7 linked regions of the Callithrix jacchus genome follow. The protein of the gene in region 3 purifies or fractionates together with the protein of the main gene of each other region. This does not show direct contact. Links are inferred from orthologs where the notes say so. Each region holds a gene or a part of one and is shown on either strand. Other genes may lie near its edges. The genes, in order: CSNK2A2, UBR2, NRP1, BCS1L, FAM241A, KDR and PLXNA1.

What was found.
Region 1: the proteins of NRP1 (region 3) and CSNK2A2 purify together in Homo sapiens (affinity purification with mass spectrometry; 5 studies listed by BioGRID and IntAct, counting the BioPlex papers as one, with this or other methods). This does not show direct contact. The link is inferred for Callithrix jacchus from reciprocal best matches to the Homo sapiens genes NRP1 and CSNK2A2.
Region 2: the proteins of NRP1 (region 3) and UBR2 purify together in Homo sapiens (affinity purification with mass spectrometry; 3 studies listed by BioGRID and IntAct, counting the BioPlex papers as one, with this or other methods). This does not show direct contact. The link is inferred for Callithrix jacchus from reciprocal best matches to the Homo sapiens genes NRP1 and UBR2.
Region 4: the proteins of NRP1 (region 3) and BCS1L purify together in Homo sapiens (affinity purification with mass spectrometry; 3 studies listed by BioGRID and IntAct, counting the BioPlex papers as one, with this or other methods). This does not show direct contact. The link is inferred for Callithrix jacchus from reciprocal best matches to the Homo sapiens genes NRP1 and BCS1L.
Region 5: the proteins of NRP1 (region 3) and FAM241A purify together in Homo sapiens (affinity purification with mass spectrometry; 3 studies listed by BioGRID and IntAct, with this or other methods). This does not show direct contact. The link is inferred for Callithrix jacchus from reciprocal best matches to the Homo sapiens genes NRP1 and FAM241A.
Region 6: the proteins of NRP1 (region 3) and KDR purify together in Homo sapiens (affinity purification with western blotting; 7 studies listed by BioGRID and IntAct, with this or other methods). This does not show direct contact. The link is inferred for Callithrix jacchus from reciprocal best matches to the Homo sapiens genes NRP1 and KDR.
Region 7: the proteins of NRP1 (region 3) and PLXNA1 purify together in Homo sapiens (affinity purification with western blotting; 4 studies listed by BioGRID). This does not show direct contact. The link is inferred for Callithrix jacchus from reciprocal best matches to the Homo sapiens genes NRP1 and PLXNA1.

The regions. Positions count from the first base shown.
Region 1 is NC_133521.1:16,079,386-16,083,428, forward strand, and holds the start of CSNK2A2 (casein kinase II subunit alpha'), read right to left. Parts: upstream 2,801-4,043; 5' UTR 2,431-2,800; coding exon 2,327-2,430; intron 1,884-2,326; exon of another isoform or gene 1,710-1,883; intron 1,535-1,709; coding exon 1,423-1,534; intron 1-1,422.
Region 2 is NC_133505.1:51,175,970-51,179,469, reverse strand, and holds part of UBR2 (E3 ubiquitin-protein ligase UBR2), read right to left. Parts: intron 626-3,500; coding exon 477-625; intron 60-476; coding exon 4-59; intron 1-3. UniProt on the Homo sapiens protein: E3 ubiquitin-protein ligase which is a component of the N-end rule pathway.
Region 3 is NC_133508.1:32,987,594-32,991,593, reverse strand, and holds the start of NRP1 (neuropilin-1), read left to right. Parts: upstream 1-1,200; 5' UTR 1,201-1,360; coding exon 1,361-1,445; intron 1,446-4,000. UniProt on the Homo sapiens protein: Cell-surface receptor involved in the development of the cardiovascular system, in angiogenesis, in the formation of certain neuronal circuits and in organogenesis outside the nervous system. Mediates the chemorepulsant activity of semaphorins.
Region 4 is NC_133507.1:140,397,758-140,401,845, reverse strand, and holds the start of BCS1L (mitochondrial chaperone BCS1), read right to left. Parts: upstream 2,801-4,088; 5' UTR 2,771-2,800; exon of another isoform or gene 2,219-2,770; 5' UTR 1,765-2,218; coding exon 1,220-1,764; intron 1,122-1,219; coding exon 982-1,121; intron 766-981; coding exon 571-765; intron 336-570; coding exon 272-335; intron 28-271; coding exon 1-27. UniProt on the Homo sapiens protein: Chaperone necessary for the incorporation of Rieske iron-sulfur protein UQCRFS1 into the mitochondrial respiratory chain complex III.
Region 5 is NC_133504.1:85,062,829-85,066,852, reverse strand, and holds the start of FAM241A (uncharacterized protein FAM241A), read left to right. Parts: upstream 1-1,224; 5' UTR 1,225-1,349; coding exon 1,350-1,502; intron 1,503-4,024.
Region 6 is NC_133504.1:141,635,202-141,638,701, forward strand, and holds part of KDR (vascular endothelial growth factor receptor 2), read left to right. Parts: intron 1-707; coding exon 708-904; intron 905-3,500. UniProt on the Homo sapiens protein: Tyrosine-protein kinase that acts as a cell-surface receptor for VEGFA, VEGFC and VEGFD. Plays an essential role in the regulation of angiogenesis, vascular development, vascular permeability, and embryonic hematopoiesis.
Region 7 is NC_133516.1:76,332,938-76,336,437, forward strand, and holds part of PLXNA1 (plexin-A1), read right to left. Parts: coding exon 3,351-3,500; intron 3,265-3,350; coding exon 3,114-3,264; intron 1,938-3,113; coding exon 1,842-1,937; 3' UTR 1-1,841. UniProt on the Homo sapiens protein: Coreceptor for SEMA3A, SEMA3C, SEMA3F and SEMA6D. Necessary for signaling by class 3 semaphorins and subsequent remodeling of the cytoskeleton. Plays a role in axon guidance, invasive growth and cell migration.

The sequences.
Region 1 (4,043 bases), on a different chromosome or scaffold from region 3:
TCTTGCAATTCTGCTCCTTCATCACTAGGCTAGGATGTATTGAGTGATGGAGTTGATCATTTTTCTGAAAGGTGATTACCAGAAAGCTAACATTGACCCCTCACATTAAACAGGGATTACCTATACAGCTGCCCTAACACACAGAAACAGCTTTTCAATACCACATTCTTAGTCCACAGAACCTCTGCAAAAGGGCCACACTGGAAATCACATGTATACAAAAGTGCTTACATTACTCTTCCATCTTCTCAATCTCTCACTGAATGACACGTGCCCACATGAAATAATCTGGCAATAATGAGGACCCATCAAAGATTCTACCAATTACTTTTTACCACACCCTATAAAACATTATTAAAGCTACACAATTAATCTTTTACCTGAAGGAAAATTTAGCCGACCCTTCATGCTCATTAAAATCATCTTCATCAAAGAGATAACAAAAGCACAGCATTATCAAACTGAGATCGCTAAACCATATGTTAAGAGTTTTGTTCCAGTGATTACTTTAGAAATCATAAGTGAATTCTATATTTTTACTAGCTGATAAGCAACAAAGGCTCTCTGGCTTTCTAACAAGGCTTCTCAGCCCTACTAGTGCACTATATCCACGCCACCTGAAACTTTACTGCCAAAGAAGAAAAAACAAGTGATTATCCACTAAGGAATTTCCTTCAACTTGGGCTCGCAATACATCTCTGAAGTCACTCCAGTTTTGTCCAGCTTTCTTTATGGAATAAGGTAGATCACGCACCAAGAGTAACAAACAGTGCTCAAGGAGACCTGAAATTGAGAATGGCTTTTTGGTCTTTTGAATACCTATTTATTTTCTAACAAATGGAGCCCTTTTGGAATTTCTGCTTTAGGCACCTATAATTTACATTTTAGAACACCTTCCTGAACTTAAGAGTTGGGCTTAGATTTGTGACCAGTCTGCACATTTCCTTGAAAGTTCACAGGAAAATGGGGTGGAAAAAGAAGTAATGAAGGGTCATCAGAGAAGTAAAATTTGAGTGTGGGCTGGGCACAGTGGCTCATGCTTGTAACCCCAGCAACTTTGGGAAGCCTGCAAGGAGTCGTTCTGGAGGACTGCTTGAGCTCAGGAGTTTAAGACCAGCCTGGGCAACATGACCAGACCCTGTCTGTACAAAAAAATTTTTTTAAATAGCTGGGCATGATGGCATGCACCTGTAGTCCCAGCTACTTGGGAGGCTGAGAAGGGAGGATCACTTGAGCCCAGGAGTTGAAGGCTGCAGTGAACCATAATCTGCACTCCAGCCTGGGTTACAGAGTGAGACTCTGACTCTAAATAAGTAATTAAATTCAAGCTTGCACTGCCCATTCTAGAATGTGACTGGGGTAGCTTACATCCTTTTGCCCTGTGGGGGAACAAATGTTATTTATCACTCATAGGACACTCACCTTGAGGATTTTTACAACCACTCTCTCATTGTTGGTGATGTTAATGGCCTCAAATACTTCACTATATTTTCCCCGACCAAGTTTTCGAACCAGTTGGTAATCATCTTGATTACTGTAAAAGGTAAGAGACAGACACACATAAATGCCAGGACTGGGGGTTAGCCAAGCCTATGCCCACTATACACGTCATCCAGCCGCTTCCGCCAGGCAAACACTTGGAAGTGTCTACACATCACGTCACAACTCATTCCCTAAATGAAAGCCACGACGTAATCTTGGCTCCCTTCACTCTGCAGAGCTCCTAACCTAACTGGTCTCTCCTAACTTGGGAAGATGGGGTAGAAAGGCAACGCTCTGAGCCAATCCAGAGGGGCGAACAAAGCACCCGTCCTGAAGGCCTAGAGGGTGCCCCCTCTGCCCCGCGGCTTCACAGCACCTGCTTCCCGTTTCACACCCTGAAGGTAGACAATCCCTGTTTTAAAAATGTGGACGTCTTTAAGAAATTTCCTCCCACTACCTCATCTCAGAAAACCGAAAAGGCAGAGAATTTTAATAGCTCCAGAGGACAGCTGTTGACTTCCCACCCTAGTGGAAACCCAAAAGTGTGAGAAGGGCTGCTCCCTCACTTCCACCCAGCGCCGATCCGTGCACCCCACACTTCTCTCCGAGTAAAAAAATCATTCCTTGGGGGAAAGGGGTGCGCAAAGCGGGGAGAAAGGGACGAAACCGGGGTAAAGGGGAGGGAAGAGGAAGACGAGGACATGTGCGAGAGCGGGACCTCTGTCTCCAGCGGGGCCGCGGAGGGATCGGCGGGAGACACCACCCCGGCCGAGTGCGGGTCGCGGGGGGCGGCCGGGCGGAGACAGGGGTCAGCGGGCCCGGCGGGGGACGGCGGCGGCTTTACCCCCAGCTCGGGACGTGAGACTCGTAGTCCCAGTACTCGCGGCTCCTCAGGCTGTTCACCTCGGCGTAGACCCGGGCCCTGCTGCCCGCGGCCGGGCCGGGCATGGCGGGCGGGACCGGGGGGCGGCGCGGGGCGCAGAGGGTGGCGGCGGCGGCGCGGCGGAGGGCGCGGGGCGGCGGGCGGAGGAGGCGGCTGGCCGCCGGGCTCTGGAGAAGGAGGAGGAGGAGCGCGGTAGCGGGCGGCCGCGCCAGGCCGGGCCCGCGGGGGCGGGCGGGCTGGGGGCGCGGGGGGCGCCGGCCGAGCCGGCCCGGCCCTGGAGCGGCCGGCGGAGCGGCGGGGCGGGCGGCGCTCGCGCTCCGCGGCGGTCTCCGCTCGGCTCGCGGCCCCCAGGAGGCGGCGGCGGCGGCACCGGCAGCGGCAGCCACCGGCCGGGAAAGGGGCAGCGGCGGCAGCAGCGGAGAAGAAGGAGGAGAGGAGGAGGAGGCGGAGGAAACCCGGAAAAGGGGCCGCGCTCACGGGGAGCGGCCGCCGCCCGGCCTGGGGCCGCCCAGGCTCACAGCGCCCCCTGCAGCGCGGGGGGACCCGCCGGGCGGTGCCGACCCCGCCCCGGCCCCACCCCAGCACGCCCCGCCCCCTCCCCCGCGCCCTCCCCCACCTTGGCCCTCCCGCTGCCCCAGGCCGGGCTGTCCAAATCGCCTCACCCTCCGGCTGGCCTTACCTCACGCCACAGGAGCCCCCACTTCCACTGGCCGTTGCCTTAGAACCCTCCCCTTCGAGTCCCGACCCTTTCAAGATTGTCGGTGGAGACCCTGCCCCCAGCTCTGCAGTTGCCCAGCTTTTACCCCCACACACCTCCCATACCCTCTTCTCGCCCAAACTGTCAAGTCTCTCTCCAGGGCCTCGCTCAAACCTCAGAACCTCTCCCACCTCAATACTTCTCCCTTCCCCCGAGACGTACCCCTCCTTCCCCCTCTGGACCCTTCCCTGTTCCCGCAGACTCCTCAGTCCCCAAGACTTCCCACCCTCTTCATTCAGAGTCCTCCTCACAAAACCCTTATACATTTCCCCCAAAAGCCCCTCCAGAGCCTTCCCTGAGAACCCTCTGAATACCCACTTTGGTCACTTGGTTAAGCTGGAGTCGGCCAGGTTGTGCCACCGCAAAGTTACAATTTTTCCCTTTGTGATTAGTAAGTCGCTTGTGGGGAGAGACGTTGAGAGTCTGTAAATCTCCTGTTTTTGTTGAGGAGGAGGGAGAGCAGGAGAATGTAAATTTGACCTGAAGGGACAGACTGAGATTGGGTATGCACCGGGATGGGTGGCCAGCTGAGCTGGCCTGGCTTCCAGTGTTGCCTGCGGCCCTGGACACTCCTCTCTTTTGACATTCTAGGCCCTTCTTCTGACTTTCTTTCTCATCCAGCATCCTTTCGCGACACAACCTCTTCACCCAGTCCAGGTTGCTCTGATTCCAATCCCTTTTCACATTCTGTTTTCTGGATGAAACTCTGGGCCTTCCTCCTTGACAAAGCTAAGAGCACAGACTGTGGAGTCAGATCTATCCAGTACTGCTGCTTACAAGCTGTGTGACCTTGGGCCAATTATTCAACCTCTCTGTTTCACAGATTCTACAGCATAAAATCAGTAATAGCACCCACTTCACAGGGCTGCAAGGAGAACTAAACAAAATAAACCATGTGAAACACTTAGGATGATGTTCAAT
Region 2 (3,500 bases), on a different chromosome or scaffold from region 3:
TACCAGTCTGCAAGGTAAAGGACCAAACAATGGTTTATCTTCATCACTCAGAATTCTTTCTACGAATTAAAGATGGTTAAAATGGTAAATTTCACGTTATGTACATTTTAATATAATTGTTTTAAAAGGTTAAAAAAACCCAATTCTGCAGACAGTACAATATTGTCAGGTTTCAGAATCTTCAAAGTCATTTCACAAGAATTAAGTTTGGTTACAGAGTAAAAATGAACAGTACATTTCTTCAACTGACAAGAAGCTATAACCACCACCAAGAGTTCTCTGTTGCTGTGGTTAATTTATGAACTATCAATCTAGTATTTTGTCAGTACACTACATTTCTTGCTTCTCAGTCTTTTTATTATTATTTCTTCATACTGTTGCCCACTTTAAACACTTCATTTAAAAACACGATTCTATACATAATTCATATCAACAAATGCTTGTGACTTACAGAGGAACAGCTGTAAATCTCTTACCTATGCTTTGGATGGTGTATGCACAGCTACCCCAACACATTATGGGAACACGAGGATCCTCCTCATTGGGATGAACCTTTAGTCCCACCTTGTATGTAGCAGTTCCAAATGTCGTTAGCATTTCTTTTATGCTCTCAGAATAAGGGTTCCTGAAGTAAACATGTGTAAAATTAGCTCAGAACAATGCGCACATATCAATCAAATGGTTCAGTTTCTTAACAGCTTCTTGCTATATTGAAATTGAACCACTTAACATGTATCCAGAGGTAACTGTATGCAAAGTGATTAGAGATATGCAAACTGCCCCTGCCCAAGAGGAGTTAGGCTCTTTGATGTAGCAGGGGTGAGGCACAGGCTGAAAGCAGGGTGCTGGGCAAAGGTCTACAGGCTAAACAGTGAGATCCTTGACCCTGTTTCCCATCCTGAGAACATCAGCAGTGTATACCCCCTGCCACAGAGTTTAGTTTTTCCAGTGAACAATCCTCAGGGGAAAGTTGTTTTTACACACTGACATTTGGGGGTCACCAAGTAAAAGACTGGACGTGTCCTGAGCACCTTTACTGTGAGGCTTACAAGTCAGCAAGCTCCAATCTGTCCACCAGGTATTCTTATGCTCATTGGCTTAAGTTATCCAAGGACCAATAAGCATTTAAGGAAAGCATCAAAGAGATAAACCAAAACAAAGAAGCAGAGAAACAGAACTCAGGAAAAACAGACAATGTAGAAAGTTTCACTTACAGGAAATTAGGGTATCAGTTCAATAGGTCCAACAGTGAGCTAATAGAACTACCTCAAAGAACAAAATCCAGTAGAACATTATTTAAGAAACAACATAAAAAATTCTCAGAAATGGATATGGGGCTGGGCGTGGTGGCTCACACCTGTAATCCCAGCACTTTGGGAGGCCGAGGCGGGTGGATCCTGAGGTTAAGAGATCGAGACCATCCTGGTCAACATGGTGAAACCCCGTCTCTACTAAAAATACAAAAAATTAGCTGGGCATGGTGGCGCATGCCTGTAATCCCAGCTACTCGGGAGGCTAAGGCAGGAGAATTGCCTTGAACCCAGGAGGCGGAGGTTGCGGTGAGCTGAGATCATGCCATTGCACTCCAGCCGGGGTAACAAGAGTGAAACTTCATCTCAAAAAGAAAAAAAGAAATGAAGGATATGAATGTTCAGATTCAATAGGTTTACTAAAAGCCTAGCAACATGAATAAAAAAAGATTCATATAGCAAGAAATATCACAGAAAATGTCAGAACACTAAAGAGATAAAGAGAAATATTTTAATAGTTTTCAGAAGTAACAGAGTTATTAGCCCGGGTGCAGTGGCTCATGCATGTAATCCTAGCACTTTGGGAGGCCAAGGTGGGTGGATCATTTGAGGTCAGGAGTTCGAGAATAGCCTGGCAAACATGGTAAAACCCTGTCTCTACTAAAAATACAAAAAATTAGTGGAGCATGGTGGCGCATGCCTGTAGTCCCATCTACTTGGGAGGCTGAGGTATGAGAATCCCTTGAAACTGGGTGGTGGAGGTTGCAGTGACCTGAAATTGTGCCACTGCACGATCTTGTCACTTCATCCTGGGTGACAAGAACGATATTCTGTCTCAAAAAAAAGAGAAGTAATAGAGGTACAAAGGAACCAGGCATGGTGGCTCACGCCTGTAATTCCAACCACTCAGGAGGCTGAGATAGGAGGATTGCTTGAGCTCAGGAGTTCAAGGACAGCCTGAACAATGTAGACAGAACTCATATCTAAAAAAATTTAAAAAAAGTGGCTGGGTGTGGTGGCTCACACTTATAATCCCAGCTACTTAGGAGGGTGAGACAGGAGAATTGCTTGAACCCTGGACACAGAGGTTGCAGTGAACCGAGATCGCACCACTGCACTCTATCCTGGGTGACAGAGTGAGAACCTGTCTCAGAAAAACAAAAACAGAGTCGGGTGAGGTTGCTCACACCTGTAATCCCAGCACTTTGGGAGGCGGAGGTGGAGGGATCACGAGGTTAGGAGATCGAGACCATCCCGGCTAACACAGTGAAACCCTGTCTCTATTAAAAATACAAAAAATTAGCCACGCATGGTGGCCCACACATGTAGTCCCAGCTACTTAGGAGACTGAGGCAGGAGAATCGCTTGAACCCGGGGAGGCAGAGGTTGCAGTGAGCCAAGATCTTGCCACTGCACTCCAGCCTGGGTGACAGAGCAAGACTCCATCTCAAAAAACAAACAAAAAACAAAAATAGTTACAAAGGAACAGGAATTAGAATGGTATTAATTTCTCAATGGATATAAAATTTAGTAAAATAATAGCTTCAAAATCTAGATGAAAAGTTACTTCTAACCTATAATGCTATACCCAAACTATCAACTGGGCATATGAATAAAATGAACATATTTTCAAACATGAAAATATATCTTCCAGGTATCTTTTCTTAGGAATCTGCAAAAAGAGCAAGTATTTAAGAAAGAGGAAAACATTCAATCCAGAAAATAAGAGGAGTGGGGCCAAGAGAAGTGACAGCTGTCCCCCATCTTGACTGCAAGGGTGATGGTATTTATTGCTGTACATTGAAAGAAATCTAAGAGCCACGTGGCATGTTTAACTCTCACCTCTTTCTCCCAGTCGGCATTGCTGACCCCCCCACCACACCCCTTTCTCTACCTGGCTCTCCTTGACAACATCTAATCAGCACCACAGCTTATTAACTGTGCACCCTTTGAGATTACAAGTGTGCACCACTACGTCCAGATAATTTTTGTATTTTTAATAGCGACAGGGTTTCACTGTGTTGGCTAGGCTGGTCTTGAATTCCTGACCTCAAGTGATCTGCCTGACTTGGCCTCCCAAAGTGCTGGGATTGTAGGCGGGAGTCACCACACCCGGCCTGATGCATTTTCTATTCAAGTCTTATAGGTCTGTATTTATTGAATTACTTAGTACATAACAGGCACAGGTTCCAGGTAGCTTTAGGCACATTATATCACTTTATTCTAATAACATCTATGAATTATCCTCAC
Region 3 (4,000 bases):
CTCCGAGACCAGGTTGGGCGGGGTCAGGCGGCGGTTGCCCCAGCTTGGAAGGCGCAGCACCTCCCACCCTCCGGTGTTCCAGCTGCCCAAGAGGAGCTGGCCCCAAATCTCAGGAAACAATGAAGCCACCTCTGCGACGCGCAGAGGGCACCCCGGCGCGATCGGCATCCAGCCGCGTGCCCTAATGCGGGCCAGGGGTGCTGCGTGGGCCTTCAGCCCGGCCTCCCCAACCCAGGCTGTCTGACTCGGCTTCACACCGCAGCGACCCTCGCCCGGCCTCGCGGTGTGGCTCTCACTCCAGCCCGGCGTTCGCCTCCTTATCCTCCAGCTCTGGGCGGGGGCATCCAGGGGTGCCCCGCTGCTCCCCTCCACAAGTCTCAGGCTGGCGCGATGGGGAGTGGCAGAGGGTGACCCTGAGATCCTCGCTGCCGCGGGCGCGGGCCCCGGGATTTGAAGTTGCAAGAAGCAGCCGCCACCTCCCGGGCGCTCCGCACTGCGCGGCCGCGGGATCTGCGCCTCCAGGAGCTGCCTAGCTCTCCCTCTGGGGGTGCAGAGCGAGCACGCGAGGTGGGCTGGCCAGACCCCGCGGCTGGCACCGACCTCCGCGCCCCTTCTTCCGGCGCCCGCACCCACGCGCCGGGGGCGCAGACCCCCAGCGCCTTCCTTCCCGCGGAGATCCCTGCAGGGTCTCCGGGAAAGACAGACAGACGGACGGGGAGAGCACTCGGACGGAAAGTTGTTCCTCCCAGTCTCCTGTCAGGCAATTACCCGCGAGCCCGAGCGGGGAGAGGGGCGGGAGGAAGCGAGGGAAGGGCTCCAGAGTGGGGGGAGGCCGCGGGAGGGGAGGCGGGAGTGCAGTTGGTGAAACTCCTCTGTCTCCCGCTCATCTTTTCATTGCTCGCTCCTCTCCTTCCCGCAGACACCCGGACCTCCCCTGGGCGCCAGCTCCACGGCTCCAACGGGTCCAGAAACAAGCCGGATTTTTTTTTTCTTCCTGGAAATTGGCTTTGGTGTGTGTTGCCCTACGTCCCTCCTCCCCCTCCCACCCACACTCCCCCCCCCCCCGCCTTTTTTGAGACATGGCCCGGGCAGTGGCTCCTGGAAGAGGAACAAGTGTGGGAAAAGGGAGAGGAAGCCGGAGCTAAATGACAGGATGCAGGCGACTTGAGACACAAAAAGAGAAGCGTTCCTCTCGGATCCAGGCATTGCCTCGCTGCTTTCCTTTCTCCAAGACGGCCTGAGGATTGTACAGCTCTAGGCGGAGTTGGGGCTCTTCCGATCGCTTAGATTCCCCTCTTTGCTGCATTTCCCCCCTCGTCCTCGTTCTCCCGCGTCTGCCTGCGGACCTGGCGAAGGGAGAATGGAGAGGGGGCTGCCGCTCCTCTGCGCCGCGTTCGCCCTCGCCCTCACCCTCTCCCTCGCCCCGGCCGGCGCTGTTCGCAACGGTAAGTGACAGGCGGAGGCGCGGGTGACAGCGAGCGGCGTCCCGGCTCCCAGCCGCCCGCCCCGGCCCGGGGCTTACGCGGGTTGCCCGGGACCTGCCGGGAACAGCAGACTCTGGGGCAAAGGAAACTTTTATCTGGGAGGAGAGACGAAGAAATGAGATCAGGCGCTTTAGGGCAGGAGGATTTTAGGTCCTTGGGCTCCCTCCTGAAGTTGATCATTGGGCTGTGGGGCTTTTCCTTACCTCTGTTACAAGACAGAGCTGCCTGCCTTCCCAGATCCAATTATCTTAATAATGTTTCCTCCCAAAGCCAATTAGAAGAGACTCCCTTTCAAAAATCTGATGGCTGTTGAAAGTTAATGAACACCTTACAGGAGATCTTACTTCCTGGTTCCTTTGCTGTGCCCCTAAGCCGTTTCTTCTGGTGGGTGATGGCTATAGATATGGATTTGTGGGTTGATAAAACTCCCTCCCCCGCCTTTGATATCTTTCCTAATCTGTCTGGAGTATGACTGAAAGTTACATAGTATCAATACAGGAATCTGATATATACGGTGTAAAGGCACCAGGATATCTGAAAATCCCTATGCTAGCTGCAGCTTCCACTTGGCTTTTAAAACCACTCACTGTTAAGTAAATGAAAAACTATCCTTGGGTATAAACAGTACCATGTAACCTAAATAATGTGTTTTAAAATGGGATCTGGTTGTAGGCATGTTTGACTTCACACTATAAAGTAAGTGCAGGCAAGGGTAAGCAATTATCTTTACAGTAAGTCATCAGCAATTGTTATTAACTAATGATCAAATATTTACTTTTGTCTGGCTTAGATTTCAATCAAAGTAATTAGAAGAAAAGAACATCCACTACTTACTGTGGTATATTGTTTTAATAAGAGACCGCAAGTGGAGGGCCTCATACCAACAGGAATTTAAATCACATCTTTATGATGGAAGTTAATCTCTCTAATATGCTTTTTCAAGGTTTTGTGATTTCAGCAATGAATTTCCCTCAGCAGCTACCAAGCAGTGTTCTAAAGAGATGCTTGAAGCAAAACACATGCAAAAAAAAAAAAAAAATTATGAACATGGAGTTCAACTTATTAATGAACCCAATTTGATGGCATCTTTCTATAATCTGGCAGGAAAGCAAAACACAGGAAATTGTGAATGTAGAGTTCAATTTATTAATGAACCTGAGCTGGTAGCATCTTTCTATATCCTGGCAGGGAATGAAATAGCGTTCTCGTCCAAATGAAAGAGCTCTAATGGCTGGACTAGAAATGATAGTAACCCCCTGTCCTCCACAACTCCTGAGTCTGAATCCATAGTGGGAGTGTTCACAGGAAGGATTTGAGGCTCAGTGCAAAGAGCTTTCAGACTTTAGGTTGTGAGCTACACAAATATATATGCAGCACACACACACACACACACACTTCTTAATTTTCTTAGCAGAAATCTGGGGAATGCTGAAAATCTGGCTTCAGTTGATGAGTTTGACCAGCGAAAGCCATGTTGCTATGCTTGAAGTGACCAGAGCCAGAAAATGCCTCTGTAATTCAGCAGTTCTCTTAAAGCCATGTCCACCTCCTCCCAGTAACCAGTGTCTGCTAAATTAATTCATTAACCTTATTTAGGACTAATGGTCCAGAGTCATTAGAAATTGCTCTTTCTTAATCAACTGCTAGAGAGATTTAACAGAGCCAGGGAGTCTAGCAGTCCACATTATCTTATTACACTGTCACTTTCTCAGAAGTCACAGATTAAAGAGCTCTGGTGTGGTACCAAGTCCACCTAAATGTCTTCTGAAGTGACTCTGTCGAGTGACTAGAACCAGTGCTGTTTTATTTCACTCCTGTAACAGATGCCAGACACTACCATGATGTTTGTCCAGAGCTGGAGGAGACTTAATGAGACGAGGTCACTTTCCAAGTTTTCTGCACATTCAGAATAATGCAAGAGTCTCAGTAGAATCACATAACAGAATCCAACATGACCGTTAGCTGAGATTTTGAACTCCAGTTGCAACATAATTTTTTCCTGGCAAACCTTAGGCTTTTACAAGCCAGTGCAAAGGAAACCAATATAAGACTACCCCTAGTCTAAGGAACAAAGGTCAGAAGCACCTAGCAATTGAGAAAAACAGTATAACCTATATTGTCTTCTTTTTAATTTATGGGAAATGATTTCTGTAATGCCTGTAGCTTTATGCATTTTTGATGTGCACTTCATCTTTCATTTCCATTTGACCTGGTTTTCCTGTAATAAAATTCTGTAGATTTATAAATTCACGCTGAGAGCAAAGAATGCCATTCTCTTTCCACAGGGAATCTATTAGATTCAATGTTAAAATCTTTATATACCATTACTGAAAATTTGTGATTGATAGGCTTATATATTTCACTGCTTTCATACCTGTTTCTCTTAGATAGTTTATGCCCCAAATTGTTATTGCTCAAAATTAAGCATCAATAAATGTGGCAGCATTTCAGGCTGAGGCACTCCAGTATGAAATCCATTATAAAAATGTGACAATGAGAATCTATGCTGAACAATA
Region 4 (4,088 bases), on a different chromosome or scaffold from region 3:
TGCTCCAGTTCCCCAGCCAGGGCTGTGCTATGGAGGATGGGATGGCAGGAGGTAGCAGGCAACCTGGAAATGCTTCCTCAGGCCCAGCTACTCTCCTCTCAGTCTGGGGATATGTGTCTCAGAGGCTTAACTTCTAGCTCACACCCTAATGTTCCACACATTTCATGTTTATCCCGGCCCCTGGTCCCCAGATTCACTTCCCTTTCCAACCCCATCAGCCCAGTGTTTTCACAAAGGCTTAGTTTCACCAAGAGAAATTTTGACTACTCACATAAAACTGCTCTTTCCACAACCAGGGGGCCCATAAAGCAGGTAGCCACGTCTGTAGGGAATGCCTAGGGAGAGCCAGGTTGATATGGATTTTGCCCGATATCCACGTTCATTCCCAGCCCTGCCCGCTGGAAGCCTGATAACTGGTAGGGAAATAAATCATCCTCATACACAACTTTTCATTCCTCTTAATCTCTGGGAATTGGACTAGAACTTTCTATCACCCCATCTGGCCAGAGACCAACCTGTCCCCTCTAAAATGTCAAAAATAGCACAGCCAAGATCTTAGCTGCTTCTTACCTCTGTCGGTGTACCACTTGGGGTTATCAATGAATTCCCGGATGTCTCTGACAATTCGGTCAGCCAGACCCTGTTGTAGAACCACAGAACTCAGTGGCCGCCGGCGGCGTGGATAGCCAAAGGGACGCCATTCAGAGCCTACAGCTGTGTACATCACGGTCTTCCCTTCCTCCTGCTGCAAGGCTAGCTCTCGAGCTGAAAAGGAAAAGATGAGATAAAGCCAATAATTCTCTTCACCATGGCTGATTCTTCGATTAGGTGGAGCTATGCCCAACAGCTTCCTTCTGGCCCCGTGCTCCCCTGGGCTCACCCTGGTCTGCTTATTCCACCTCTCCAAACTGCTTATCCTCTGATGTCAAATGTCCCCATCCCTGCAATGTCCCTAGAAAGCCTGCCTGTGCCATCCCACACCTTCCTCCAGGATGTTGAAGAAAACCTTTCGGTCAGTGCCCAGGGCCGTGAAGGTGACAGATTCCCAAGGAGTCCCCGTCTGCAAGTCTATCATCTGCATCTCTCGACTTCGTTCTACTCGGATCCATTTCCCCTGATACCTGAATAAGAACAATCAAAACAGAGTGAGTGAATGGTTCAAACCCAGCTCCCATCATTTTTTTCTACTCTCACAGCCCTCCCTGGCTCCCAACCTTACCAGATAAAGTGGTTTCCAGGGCTGGGGACAAATTCAAACTTAGTGGAAATGCGGCCACTCTCATGCTGAAGGTACGAAGTCTCCACACTGAGGTGCTGAGTACGGGTACTGTGGCGGGTGAGCCAGCTAAGCAACCAAGCATAGCTCCTGTCTCGAGCAGGGACTTCCAGTGTGATCATGTAATGGCGCCGGAATGCCACCAGGCCCAGCTGGGCACCCTTCCGGGCCAGGGCCAGGACTGTGCCCACACCCACCAGCCCAAATCCAGCCCCAAAGTAGGGATTGTCCTTCAGGGCCAGAATAAAGTCTGAAAGTGGCATCTTGAAAGGGAAACACCAAACCTTACCAGCCCTGGGGTGTTGCAAAAACCTACGAGTGGGGAACAGTGGAGATGGGACAAAGCAAAAGATTACTTTAAAAATTGGACCTCTCCAGCCCTGCGCACAGGTTAGCACTACTCTGTTGGTCAATATCCTCCTTTTGTGGGGTAAGGGTAGTATTGGAATGCAAGGGTGAAGACTTGCATTCCATGCAATGCCCCTCATCCCATTTTGCCCTTCATTACTCTACTCATACCTGTTTCTTACCAGAGGACCATGTCTGGAGATGCCTTAAACCAAAAAGAGCAATATAAACTGGCTTCACATCAGGATAATGAATGGACAGGATTTTTGTGGTCCATGGTACCAGCTTTTATAGAAAGGGGCCCACTAGCTGGAGTCAGCAAGGGGGAAGCATCCATTGATTTGTCAATAACTCTATGCCTTGTTACCATGAGTAACGTCCTTCAAATATCCTCTCCCTTACGTTCCCAATATCTAATGTCCTGTTTAGACCTTTATTACTTCCCACCTAAACTATATTTAAAATTATAGTTCTTGAAATGGCACTTTTTTCTTCACCTCCTGCTTCACTCAACAGCTACACAAGGGTCCGGATCTTTCATCATAGGGATCAGCTCCAATTCCATCTCTCTTTCTGCTCCAGTGCCTTCAATGGCTGGGGGTACAAATTGAGCCTGGTACTCAAGGCCCTCCGCAATACGGCGCACACCTACCTTTCATAGATTAGTTCCTAACACTACCTGTTCAGCAAATATGCAACAAATATGTTCAACAGATAAGCAACCTCCCACCTCCTTGCTCATGCAGTTCTCTTGGTTCGGAATGCCGGTTCTTTTCTCCCTTATCCTCCCCAACTGAAACCTACCCATCTGCTACTTTCTCCACGGATCGTTACACTGTAGACAAATAAGATCCTGAGGGATAAGCGCAAAGTTGTCTCTAGTACACCTGTCCTCCAACCCCGAACCCCGGCCACTTTGCCTTGCACCTGGCATGCAGGGAGATGAGCTGACAGCAGTGACCTCGGCTGAGCCTCAGAACTGGGATCCAAAATTCCAAAACACCTATGCATGGAAGGCCACAGACAAAGCTCTCCCGTCCCCTCCCCCTCCGCGACACCCAGAAACCCCCTCCTGAACCTCGCCCACACCCCAGTTCGTGCCTCCAGCCACATGGTTTAGGGCAACCAGTCACTCCGCCCACTCACCGCCATGACTCTCTGGCCCTCCGTCTCGTTGGTTTCACCGCACCCGCACTTGGGGGAAGCAGCGCTCGGCCCCGCCCCGAGTCCTTTCATCTACTTCCCGCCACACCTACCGAGAAGCCCACGCCACTCTACCCCAGAGCTCTCGATGGTGCTTCCTCCGACTTCAGGGCTGGAGTAGGGGTGGAGGGCGGGGAAAAACCACAGAGAGAAAACATAGAGCACCACGGCAGCCGGCAAGCGGAAGAGAGAGTGGCTTCCATATCCCCGATATACTAGAGGCTGCTGGGCCGGAGGCGGTCGCACAAAGTGGGCCCGGGCGGCCGCTCCAGCCACTGCCGACCATAGAGATGCGGCTCCAGCCGGCTCTGGGTCCGGAGGTGAGTGAGCGGCTGCGGGGCGGGAACTGGGAAGGGAATCGGGGGTGGAGCGAGCCGGAGGCAAAGTTTTTCCAGTCAAGGCATCAGGGTGGGCCTGGACCCTGGGAACTCTCGGGAGGAGGTACTGAAGGGAGCACGCAGAAGAGCTGGGCCCCGGCGCCGCAGTCGCGTCATTGCTCTGGACCCCGCCCGGGTACCCGCTGCTCTCTGGAACAAAATCATGAAGATGCTCCATCCCAAGCCTTCCAGGTTACAAACCGCCTTTCCAGTTCGCTGGCTCTTGTGATCCAGCTCCCGCCCGAAGATGTGGACACTGTCATCACCTCCATTTTACAGACAGGAAAGCTGAGGCCCAGAGAAGCTAGGCGACTCTGTCCAAGGCCACGCGGAGAGTCAGAACCCAGCGGCAGGTGGGAACCCGGGTCCCTAGGCCGGGGCCCGTTGTTTCTCCTGGCCTTCTCTCTGCCTTAGTCTGTCCTTTCTTTTCCTCAGTGCTCCTGCCCGGAAGATAACGCGTGTTTCTTCTCTCGTGACTATCGGTCTCCTATCTCACCCTCCCCTCCCGCGGGTGAAGAAGGTTCTTAATCTTGACGGCTCTGCGTCCTCCTTGGCTCCCCCCGGAGGCTATGAATGGCCGAGCCGGAAGATTCCCCAGAGCAGCGATAAAATTCAGTAAGTGGAGGCTGCGGTTTACAGAGAATCCCTCTGACCGCGAGAGTGCCCTTCCCAGCCACCTTGTGAATCCCTGTGAGCCGCTGTTTTGAGTCCGTGGGATTCTGGAAGTAGGGACAGTCAGATTGCAGGATCTTGCTTTCTTTTTTTTTTTTTTTTTTCTTTTTGCAACTTCTCTATGACTCAATTTCATAAAATGATTACTATCATTCTTATTAATTACTAATTATTCAGCTTAAATTCATTATAGCCGTGTATAACAGTATGCA
Region 5 (4,024 bases), on a different chromosome or scaffold from region 3:
TTTCTCAGTGTACAGATAAGGCATACACACAAAAAATGTGATATTTTATTTAAACACCTCTCTATTTTCCTTGAACAAAATGGATGGGGAAGTACAGAAAAAATTATCAATTTGATAGGTTCCCCTTACCACCCACTGAGAAAGACGTATTCTTACCCAGTTATAGAAAGATACACCATTTGACACACCATCAAACCATCCAACCCTCCAACAAACAACACACACTAGGAAGCACTCAACAGAAAGGGACAAAGACACAGACCTTCAGAGAGACACTAGGAAAGGCGGCTAAAGGAACAAGAGGGACAGTGAAATGTGTTTGCCTTGAAAAGGATGGGCAGCTACTCAGGCAAGAATGGGGGACCCTGCTGGAGAGTGTAACTGGGTGTATGTGTGTGTTTCTCTCTCTCACATGCAAACCCACAAACACTGTCATCTCTTACACAAATGCACTCTCTTTTAAATATATCCACTGGCTGTCTCACACAAGTAGTTTCTCCTTCACACTTGGTCTCTCACAGTTTCTGTTGTTCCTTCATACAATCTCTGATTCACAGAGTCTCTAGTATACACATAAAATCTTTCTGTTTTTTTTTAGACAGGGTCTGGCTCTATCGCCCAGGCTGTAGTGCAGTGGTGCACTCTCTGCTCACTGCAGCCTTGGCTTCCCCGACTGAAGCGATCCTCCCACCTCAGCCTCCTGAGTAGCTGGGACCACAGTGCGCCACTACGCCCCTGCTAACTGTATTTTTAGCAGAGATGGGGTTTTCACGATGTTGTCCAGGCTGGTCTCCGAATACTGGGCTCAGGCAATCGGCCTTCCTTGGCCTCCCAAAGTGCATACAATCTCTTATACGCAGTTTCTCTTACATAGAATCTCTCACACACACACACAAATCATGCTCAGTGTCTCTCTCATACTCTCTAATAATCTCTTACACACAATCTCCGTCATACACACAGACTCATTGTATACGAGCTCCCTTATGCAGTCTATATCCAGCCTCTCACACACCCCCTTATTCTCTCAGTCAGACACACACACACACACACACACACACACACACACAGACACACACACACACACACACACACACACACAGTTGGCCCCGCCCCCTGCCTTGGCCCCTCCTCCATATGGCTCCGCCCCGACGGCGGGGGTTGGGCGAGCCAGTGACAGGAGGGGCCGGGCTGGTACTTCAGGCGCCCGGGCCGGCGGGGCGCGCTCCGGAGGCTCCTGTCACCGGCGGGTGCGGCCGATCCCAGAACAGCCCTCGGGCGGCGGCGCTGCCTGGTGCGCCCGGCGTGGTCCTAGGCGGCCGTCCGGGGTGGCAGTAGTTAGCGGCGGGATGTGCTCGGCAGAGGAGCTGCTGCGGGGCGGCGGCGGCGGGGACCGCGACGAAGACGGGGACGCGCTACAGGAGCGGGCGGCGGCAGGGACCGAGCGGGAGCCCGGGGCAAGTCCGCGGCGGCGCAGACAGCAGCTGAAGGAGAGCGAGCAGGTGAGCGCGGGGAGGGGCGGCGGCGGCGGCCGCGCGGTAGGGCTGGGGGCCGCGAGTCCCGCCGGGCGGTGGAGGAAGTGGCCCGGCTTGCGGGCCGCGCTGCGGCTCTGCCCCGCGTGGGGCACTGGCTCCGCGGCGCTCTGGGAAGCCGCCTCCGGGAGCAGTTAGACGGCGCGCCCGGGAGGGGCCGCGGGGTCGCGCGAGTGCGGACGCCGGCGCCGGCTCTGGCCCCGGGGTCGCGTGTCTGTAGGGGTCAGCGTGGCCAGTCCCCTGGCGCCCGGCAGAGGATTCGCAGGCCGGCGCCCAGGGCTCGGGGGAAATGCCTTCCGTAGCTGTGATTGATTTAAAAACCTCACTCGAAAACACTTCTTTTTCAACTTCCAGTCCGTACCCTGCGCCGGGTTTAGGAGACGGCGGCTCCCCTCCCGCCCTCCATCTTGGCCTTTCCGAACCCACACCTAACGTGTCTGGAAGGTGTGGGTGGATTCCGTCCACGGGCCGCGCTGAAAGCATGAGTAGGAAGCGGGTGTTACAATGGATGTCTTGACAGGGACTCTCCCAGAGCAAGTTCTTCACATAAACACAGATGAGATCAAAGCTTCAGTTAAAAAGTGGAGAGGCAAGAATATTGCTTTCGCTTAGTATTATACTGAAGAGAAAGAAGTTTAAGAGGCCAGCGCCATAATAAGGGAAAAGAAGTTGGGTAATTTTTTAAACTCCCTGAGTTTGATCTCATTTAAATAAAGTGTGATAATGAGCATTATAACATCAAATATCATCAAGATTAGGCAAGAGGTTTAAGTTTAAAAACTGAATTGTATGTTGAATTTTCTACAGCAAATACAGTATTTAGACTTTCACAAATACCGAGATAAGCCGATCTTAGAATCACATTAAGGAGCAGGAATTCAAATGATTATTGGCCTTTATTACAGCCTGTACTGTTAGGACAGCTAATACCTGTCTCTCCTCATCTTTCTCCATCTGCCTTTCTGTCACATTTCACAAATTCCAATATCATCACTAAATATATTATAGATGTATAACTTCTATTGTTTCAATATATTACTTAGGAAACAGAATAACATTGTGTGGCACACAATATATGCCTTAGCGTTAGGATTGATCACCACGTGTAGTGTGATTTTTCATCTGTGACAATATAAGAGAAAGTAACTCAAGCAAATAATTTGATAGCTGGTTCTTCTGATACCCTTCCTAGTGGTTTTTCCCATTAACTGTTACTCAGTTGCTCAAGGGCTTGGTTTCCTCTAACTTAAATTGCTCAACTAGAAAAGTGAAGAAAACAGCAAGAATTCCTTTGGGGAATGGGGGAGGGGTGTGCATTTGAGCAGAGGTTTCCAAAGTAAATTTTCAAATAGTCAAGAGATCATGTAAAAGACTTCATTTACCTTCTGTGTACTTCATTAGTATGATTATGTAGACATCACCAATAGCTGTGGTCTTTACAAAATTGCTTATGGTACAAAGTAAAAGAATAAAACAAAAAATGAAATAGTATCTTAGAAAACAGATATCACTTTGCATACCTGCTGCCTTCGTTGACTGTCATGAAAGTTCATTTTCCTGTATTCCTTTGAAGTGTTATTTTTATCATTCTCTTTTTATCTCAAGATTTGTGAATGTATTCTAAGCCCCCATACACAGTAATTGAAAATCACAACTCAGATATGCATTTCCTTCTACATCAGCACCAAAGAAGAACTTATCAAGAAGACAAACATAAGCAAAAAATTGGTGCAATCAAACCCACTTTGTAAAAAGCAAGCTTTTCTGATAAATTGTTTCTTGATAATATTATCACAAAGCCTTGTTTTCTAGTTTTTTTCAAGTCCTGTAAATGAAATTTAAAACTGTTACACATTGCCATGTGATGATAGTAGAAACAGTATTACATGGCAAAGACATTTGAGGGAGAAATGAAATTAACAACTGTGGAGCATATCCCAGGGACTCATTTTATTCAGTTTTTATTTAGGGAGATGATTTTTGTTTGTCTTATTGGTTGTTTTGAGGATACAAGGACTCCAGATTACAAATGGAATATTTTTGAAAGATTGGTTTTTCTAAGTTAATGACTTAGAACTTAAGGTGAACTTTTCCATGAAAACAATGATATAAACAGAAACAGAACCAAAACTAAGTAGCTGGAAATGAGACAGAGGCCATCTTCCTGCCATGTTTTCTACTTGGCAGGCTCACTTGGTATTCCACTGATAGCTTCATGGATATTGAGAGGAAATTAGAGGCAGGAGCTAGCAGAGGCTCCTTCTAACCCAGAAAAGAGCTATGGTTGTGTGTTCTTGAACTCGATAGCTCCAGAGGTATCTGACGTGCTCCTCTAGCTCTTTCAGTTGATTTTGGCCAACACCTAATTTTCTATTTCTATTCCCTTCTCAGAGTTTGCCCTTTCCTGATTATTTGATGGAGATTTCTTTCTTGGGTTATTTCTCAAGCTAAAGCCTCTTTCACATACATCCCTTCCTTTACTGATTTTTCTT
Region 6 (3,500 bases), on a different chromosome or scaffold from region 3:
TCCATAGCACTAAACACCATCTTTCATACAATCAGTTTTACTTATTCTTTAATTGCCTGTTTTCTCCAGTTAGACTGAGGTTCCACAAAGACATTGATGTTTGTCTGATTTGTTCACTGCTCTTTCTCCAGTCCTTAACAAGTTTGGCGTGTAGTAGATGGTTAATAAATATTTGTTGAATGAAAGAATGTATTAATTAATAGAAAACTCAGGAATCTCTGTAAGTGACCTCTGAGTTTGTAACTTTCCATCATATGTCGATCCAACTTGTTGTTGGTAGAAGACTTTTTTTTGTTTTTTGAGATGATGTTGCCCTGTTGCCCAGGCTGGAGTGCAGTGGCATGATTTTGGTTCACTGCAATGTTCACCTCCCTGGTTCTAGCAGTTCTCATGCCTCAGCCTCCTGAGTAGCTGGTAATACAGCCATGTGCCACCATGCTCAGCTCATTTTTGTATTTATAGTAGAGATGGGGTTTCACCATGTCAGCCAGGCTGGTCTTGAGCTCTTGGCCTCAGGTGATCCACTTGCCTTGGCCTCCCAAAGTGCTGGGATTACAGGCCTGAGCCACCATGCCTGGCCGGTAGAAGACTTTGACTATGTCTGGTAAGAGTTTACTTAAGTTTGAGAACTAAAGTTTCTCTTTTCTTAGAAATAGCCTCATAGTCAGGCACTTCACTTTAATACCTCCCTGAAATTAATTTTTCAGGGGACAGAGGGACTTGGACTGGCTTTGGCCCAATAATCAGAGCAGCACCGAGGAAAGGGTGGAGGTGACTGAATGCAGTGATGGCCTCTTCTGTAAGATACTCACAATTCCAAAAGTGATCGGAAATGACACTGGAGCCTACAAGTGCTTCTACCGGGAAACTGGCTTGGCCTCGGTCATTTATGTCTATGTTCAAGGTAAGTGGTGAAATAAAATTCATTTCCCACGTCTCTTTACCAGTTATAAAAGACAATAGCCTCAAAGAAGAATTGAGTACAAGAAAGAGCTTGCTCTAAAGGCTGTTTGTCAAGTGGAATACAGAAAATTCTTCTCTCTTGAGGCTTCCTCTGAGAAATAAGACTCATTGATTGATTCTAGAGCTCGGGCTGTGTTACCGCTCTTCTGCCCAATTCGTTTGGGATTGATCTTTGTTTCCAGGGTAAATTCGTGTTCACTATTGGCCACTGAGACTTATAAAAGTCTTCTTATGTTTGAGAAGACAACCTAAAATTCTTGAAATTGAGGAAGATTTGGGGGTGAATTATGAAGAGATTTCTGTGGAGAGACAAGTTATCTATAGCAGAAGAAAAGATTTTCCCAAGAATTCATAGGAAAGCATTTTTGCCAAGAGCTCTGGAGTTTTTTTGCACATAGGAACTTTTTTTTTCTTACTAATACTTCATAAAAAACAATTCCCATACTCATGTGCAAATAAAGACATTGCTTCAAAGAGTCTTTCGAGGACAATGTTTCTTTCCTTTGCTTGTTTAGTCTGAGATCTTGGATGATATACCATATTTTTCTAGGATTTGCAACTTGGGATTGATACCATGGAGGCTGATTTAACAACCATATAGTATAAAATAAATGTCACACATATTCAATATTTATCATGAGCTATGCATTCTTTGTGTTTCAAAAATCTTACACTATCTTATTTTTTTCTGTGAAAACCTGACTTAAATAATGAGATTTCTATGATATAAATTTGAGGAATGTAAGGGTTGCATCATAGTTTGCTTGGATGTACCAAACGTTTTTCTTTTCAGTGAAGATAAACAGACACTTTATGTATTCATGTATATGCCTCTTTACATCCCAGAGTATTTGAGACAGGTGAAGATGACCTAGACCTTTTTCCCAGAAGCAGCTTTTACAGGGCAAGAATTTCATCAGCTTTGGGAAACACACTGGCATATATCTGCTTACATCTCAGTAGTGTCTAATATGGTTAGTGCAATAAAAAAGTGGAGACCACGTCAAAATAACTTATGCCACTAGATTCATGATATTTGAGAATTATTTTTGCCAGAGTAAGCACTGTCCAAGATAGAATGCTGTGCCCTCCTCCTCCCCTCTGCAGGATTTGAAAGAGACAAGGCTCAGATCTTGGAGAATTTCTGACTCCTTTTGATCTGGCAGTCTTGGGAGATGCAGCTCTGTCAGACGAGGGCGAGGATTTCCTGCTTTTAGCCTGTCTGGAAATACTACAAGATGAACCTCCCCCATAATATCTCATTATTTACTTCTCCCTAAGTCAGGAAACTTGGAGACATGTGAAAATTCATTTCATGAATTTCAGTAAATATTTTATTTTGAGAGGATGGGTGGTTGTTTGGGTTTCTTTTGTTTATTTCCTTCTTTTGAGATACTGAAATAGAATTGATTTACTAAACAGGTTTAGTGTTACGTCAAAGGGTTAATTTAATTTCCAAAGGCTTGTTCTGTAAGCAAGTTATGTAACACTTCATAACATCTGGATGAAAGGTAGGCAATACTAAGAAGTAGCAATCCTTAGCACTGTTTACTGGTACGCTGCCTGTCTTTCGGTATACCATTAAATTCTGCTTCCTGTCTAAGCCTAAAGTTCTAGGAGTTGGGCTGTCCAAGATTTTGGCCATGAAGTTAAACAATGGGAAAGGAAACACTAAAGTATTCTCTATGGATAGGTGTTTAATGTCCCCTCCGATCCCCACCTTACTTCCCTAGTCTTCTGACCCCATTCTCTTCAGCAATGGATGGAGCCAGGAAGTCAGCCCTGGCCTTATAAGATAATGGCTATGGCATGTGGTGGGCTAGATTGGCTGCTTTTCTGTGCTATCCAGCTGGGAAGGAAATCAAACTTCTGCTGTTGCAGGGAATTAGCTGCCTTTGTCCCCCCGTGGTTTAATTAACTCTTTCTTCTCTTTGACTCACTGTTATGAAGCACTCTGAAAATGCTTGATCAGATGTGTTGGGCATAGCAATGTGAAATGCTATCTCTCTGAGACTTCAAGCATGACTCCACACCACATCGTCTCTATCTCTGGGAAATGGACAAGTTTTCCAGCAGTGTGTTAACATTGGATGAGTAATGTTTGAATGGCCTCAAAATCTTTTTTTTTTTCGAGATGGAGTTTTGCTCTTGTTGCTCAGGCTGAAGAGCAGTGGCACTATTTCAGCCTACTGCAGCCTTGGCCTCCCAGGTTCAACTGATCTCCTGCCTCTGCCTCCAAAATAGCTGAGATGATAAGCACGTGCCACCATGCCCGGCTAGTTTTTTTTGGTATTTTTAGTAGAGATGGGGTTTTGCCATGTTGACCAGGCTCGTCTCAAACACCTGACCTCAAGTGATCTGCCCCCTTCAGCCTCCCAAAGTGTTGGGATTACAGGTGTGAGCCCCTGCACCTGGCCAGAATCTCTTCAGTTTTCTTCTCAGTCTTTGGAATGGTAGCTTTTCAGATGTTTGTCATTGAAGATATCAATGACTCCTAAATGTTAAACGAAATGCAATCACTATTAAACATGATTTTT
Region 7 (3,500 bases), on a different chromosome or scaffold from region 3:
TACACACTGACCCGTGTTCAGGAGAGGGGCAGGTCTCTGTGGTGGTATCTGGCTCAAGCTGCTCAGGACGGGTGGACTGCAAGACTGGCACCCCCTGGGGCCAAGTGCTCTCCTCGGGCCTGGCCAAGGACACGGGGCTGGGTCTGGCCACAGTTAGCTGTCCCTTAAAGTCTGTGGGATCTTCAGTACCATCAAAAAAGTGACCTTGAAAAGGGGATGGACCGCTTGTTTGCTTTTACAAGTGACTGATTAATTAAAAAACATAAAAAAGGGTCTAACAACCTCTAGTATTCAACACTTGCAGTTTTAAAAAGATCAACTCAGACTAAACGCTAGCACAATCATGCATGCCCCGCGGGGCCGCGGCACCCGGAGGCTCTCAGGGTCAGCAGGAAGTCCTTTCCTTGTCACATCAAACCAAAACAGCGGCTCGCAGGTTGAGGGCACAGGCTTCAGGGCTGCTCCGCTCCAGGGAGGCTCCGGCCACTTTCTCCACAACCATTTGGCATTGTTTTCCCACTGCCTTCATTTTCTTATTCTAAATTGTCTTTAAAATTCCTCTTCAGTTAACTGTACAGTACCCCACTGGGGCTGGAGCCTGAGGCTAGAGCCACATATATATATGTGCATATATATACATGTACAGCTTTCTTTTAAGAATGCATTCTCTCTTGCTGAGGGCAAGGGTGGACACCACTGGCCTCCAATCCTTCTGGTCACTGCCCGTCATTCATGGCCCAGATAGATCCAGGCCACTGTGGGCTGGAGGGGCTGTGCCACAGAACTCAAGACCCAAGCAGAGTGCAGCAGAATTTTTTTCCCCTAAAAACAAAACAGTCCCCAGATGTCCCACTGCACTGGAAGGGCCAGGACACTGCTGAGATGCCACACTGGAAGCCGCTGGGGCAGGGAGTGGAGGGAGAGGAGTGCTCAGGGGCTGCCCTCAGGGGCTCCACAGTGGGGAGCTCAGCCTTACCCTTGAAGGCAGCTTCCAGGGCAGCCCGTGTAGGACTCGAAGGGGAATAAATAACGGGAACGTGCTCTCTGTGACCCGGGGCCCCTGGCCCAATGGCTCCCAGAGGCACAGCCCTGAGGACAGAGAGGGGCCACCTGGTCCATCTGGAAGCCACCCAGGAGTCTGAGCAGCCCGACCCGCAGCCCCTCCATAGGAGGGAGCATGGCCTCTCTGGGGCGAGGTGGATGTGGCATTCCAGCCTCTGCCGCGCAGAGCACGCGGTGAATCTGAGGATGGCAGCGGTACAGCGGGCGTGGGTGCTGGATGGGGGAGGCGAGTGCCAACAGGCCCAGACCAACGTGGGCTCCTCTTGCCCAGCCATGGGCTTTTGCTTCTTTCTCCAGCTGCCAACTGGGCCCCTGGACCCTCAGACTCTGCCAGCTGGGGGCAGCTTGGGAAGCTAGGAATGCTGACACCCCTAGCCTCTTGTCCCGGTCTCAAGGGGACAGCCCAAGCTGGCTACCCCTCCCCCTTGGAGGGTCCTGGCCTCACCCCTCAGCCCCTTAGAGGTCAGCCCTTCTCTCATGAAGGCCACCAGGCAACTCTTGCCAGGCAATGAAGGTCCTTGGCCGGCCTGGGCACCCAGTGCTGCCCCGGCCCCTGAGCAAGCAGCTGTGTGCACAGCTGTGGCGTGGTAGGTACCTTCACCTCCACATAGGAAGAGCCGGGACCCGGCCGGGCGAGACGGGGGAGGGAGGGCTGGGCAGTCGCTGCACTGCGGCGGCTTGAGCGCCACCAGACACTGCACACGCATGCAGCGAGGGATGCCCTGGTCCCTGCTCGGCCACCCTCGTGCTGCGTCCTGCTGGACGGTCACAGCCAGGGCTCAGCTGCTCAGGGCCATCGTGTCTACCACCTGCTCCAGCTTGCTCCGCAGCCGCTGCCGCCGTGCCTGCTCATCCTTCTCCAAGGCCGCCAAGATCTGCAGGGCCAGGAGAGCTGTCAGCATACTGGGCCACCGGCCTCCATACGCTCAGCAGGCCCAGGGTGGATGCCTATGGAGCAGGTGCTGGAGGTTCAATCCCATCTATTCCTGGCCAAGGGACCTTGGTTGTGAGCCTGGACCCCCAAGAACCCCATCATGGAGGATGAGCCCTACCCCGTCATCATTCCTACCCTCGCCCCCTAAAACAGCAGGCTCTGATCCCTTGGCTGTCTGGCCACACTGCTGACATGTCGCCACTCAGTCCTGACACCCCTTTAATACATGGCCATCTGTCGTGGGTGCAGATGAGTCTCCCCAGGGAGATGTGGTTCTGCATTTGAGATGTGCCTGGGCTCCTGTGGCTGCCCCTGCCTCCCAACAAGGAAAACCTGGAGCCTCCCCAGAGAGCCTCAGTTCCCCTTGCCCTGGTGAGCCCCAGGACCCCAGGCTTTTGTTCCCACCCCCCACCCCAATACACGCAGTCTCTGGCTGCTCCTCTGTTCCTCTGGGGTGCCTGACTGAGGACGGCCCTCTGCCTCCTCTCTGTTGCCTGCGGCACCCTGGGAAAGGCTCCTTGCCTCTGCTGCACCTGCCCCAGCTTCCCCAGGGTGGCTCTGGTTCAGTCCCATAGCCTCCTCGGCTCTCAGGCCTTGGCACAGGCCAAGCCTGTCCTGCCTTCTGGCCCCTGCTCCTGTCCCATGCAGCCCAGGAGCCAGTCCTTCTTCCTGGATGCCTCCTGGAGCCTGTCCCCAGTTCCACGTTCGTGGATGACAAGGGCTCACTCCAAGTTAGCAGAAAAGACACTGAAAGGGAAGCTCTGCCAAGAGCCTATGCCCAGCCCTGGAGACGCCGGCTCAGCCTGGAGAGCCCCGAAATGAGCCCCTCAGGGAAGTTGCTTACCACCCCCACCCTCCACCTCAGGAAGAAGCTGCCATCCCATCTTCCTTATCCCTGACCCCACATGGCTGCATACAGTGACTCCACTATAGCCCTCTCTTCTCAGCCTGGCAGGCTTCCTCTTGGCCCCGAGGAACTAGGTAGCCAGCAGGTACAGAGGAGCGAAGGTGTCCCATGGCAGCCCAGAGATTCAGGGAGGAGCTGGCAGGGCGGGGCAGAGCCAGTGGCTCTGGTAGGGTCCTCCCAGCCCAGCTTTCGGGCTCCCACAGTGCTCACCTCATCCTTGTACTTGGTGATATAGGAGTAGATCTCATGCAAGGCGCTCATGCTGTTGAACTGGCTCAGGTGCAGGCGGGACTGCTCTGCCAGGTATGCGCTCATGTCCTGGTCGCTGATGGCCGGCATCTTGGCGATGTCTGCATAGTACCTGTGGGTGAGTGGCCAGGTGGGCATATGAGCAGGGTCCGCACTGCCCCCCAGGTCCCTGCCCCGACCCCTGCAACCTCCACCCACCTCTCCACCCAGCTCTTGTAGTTGGGGATGTCCTTGGCATAGAGCAGCTTGTTAGAGGGCGAGTCCTTGCCCAGCTTGTGCTCAGAAGTAGAGCAGGAGTCCATGAAGGTCTGGGCCACCACCGACAAGCAGGCATCCGTGATGCTATTC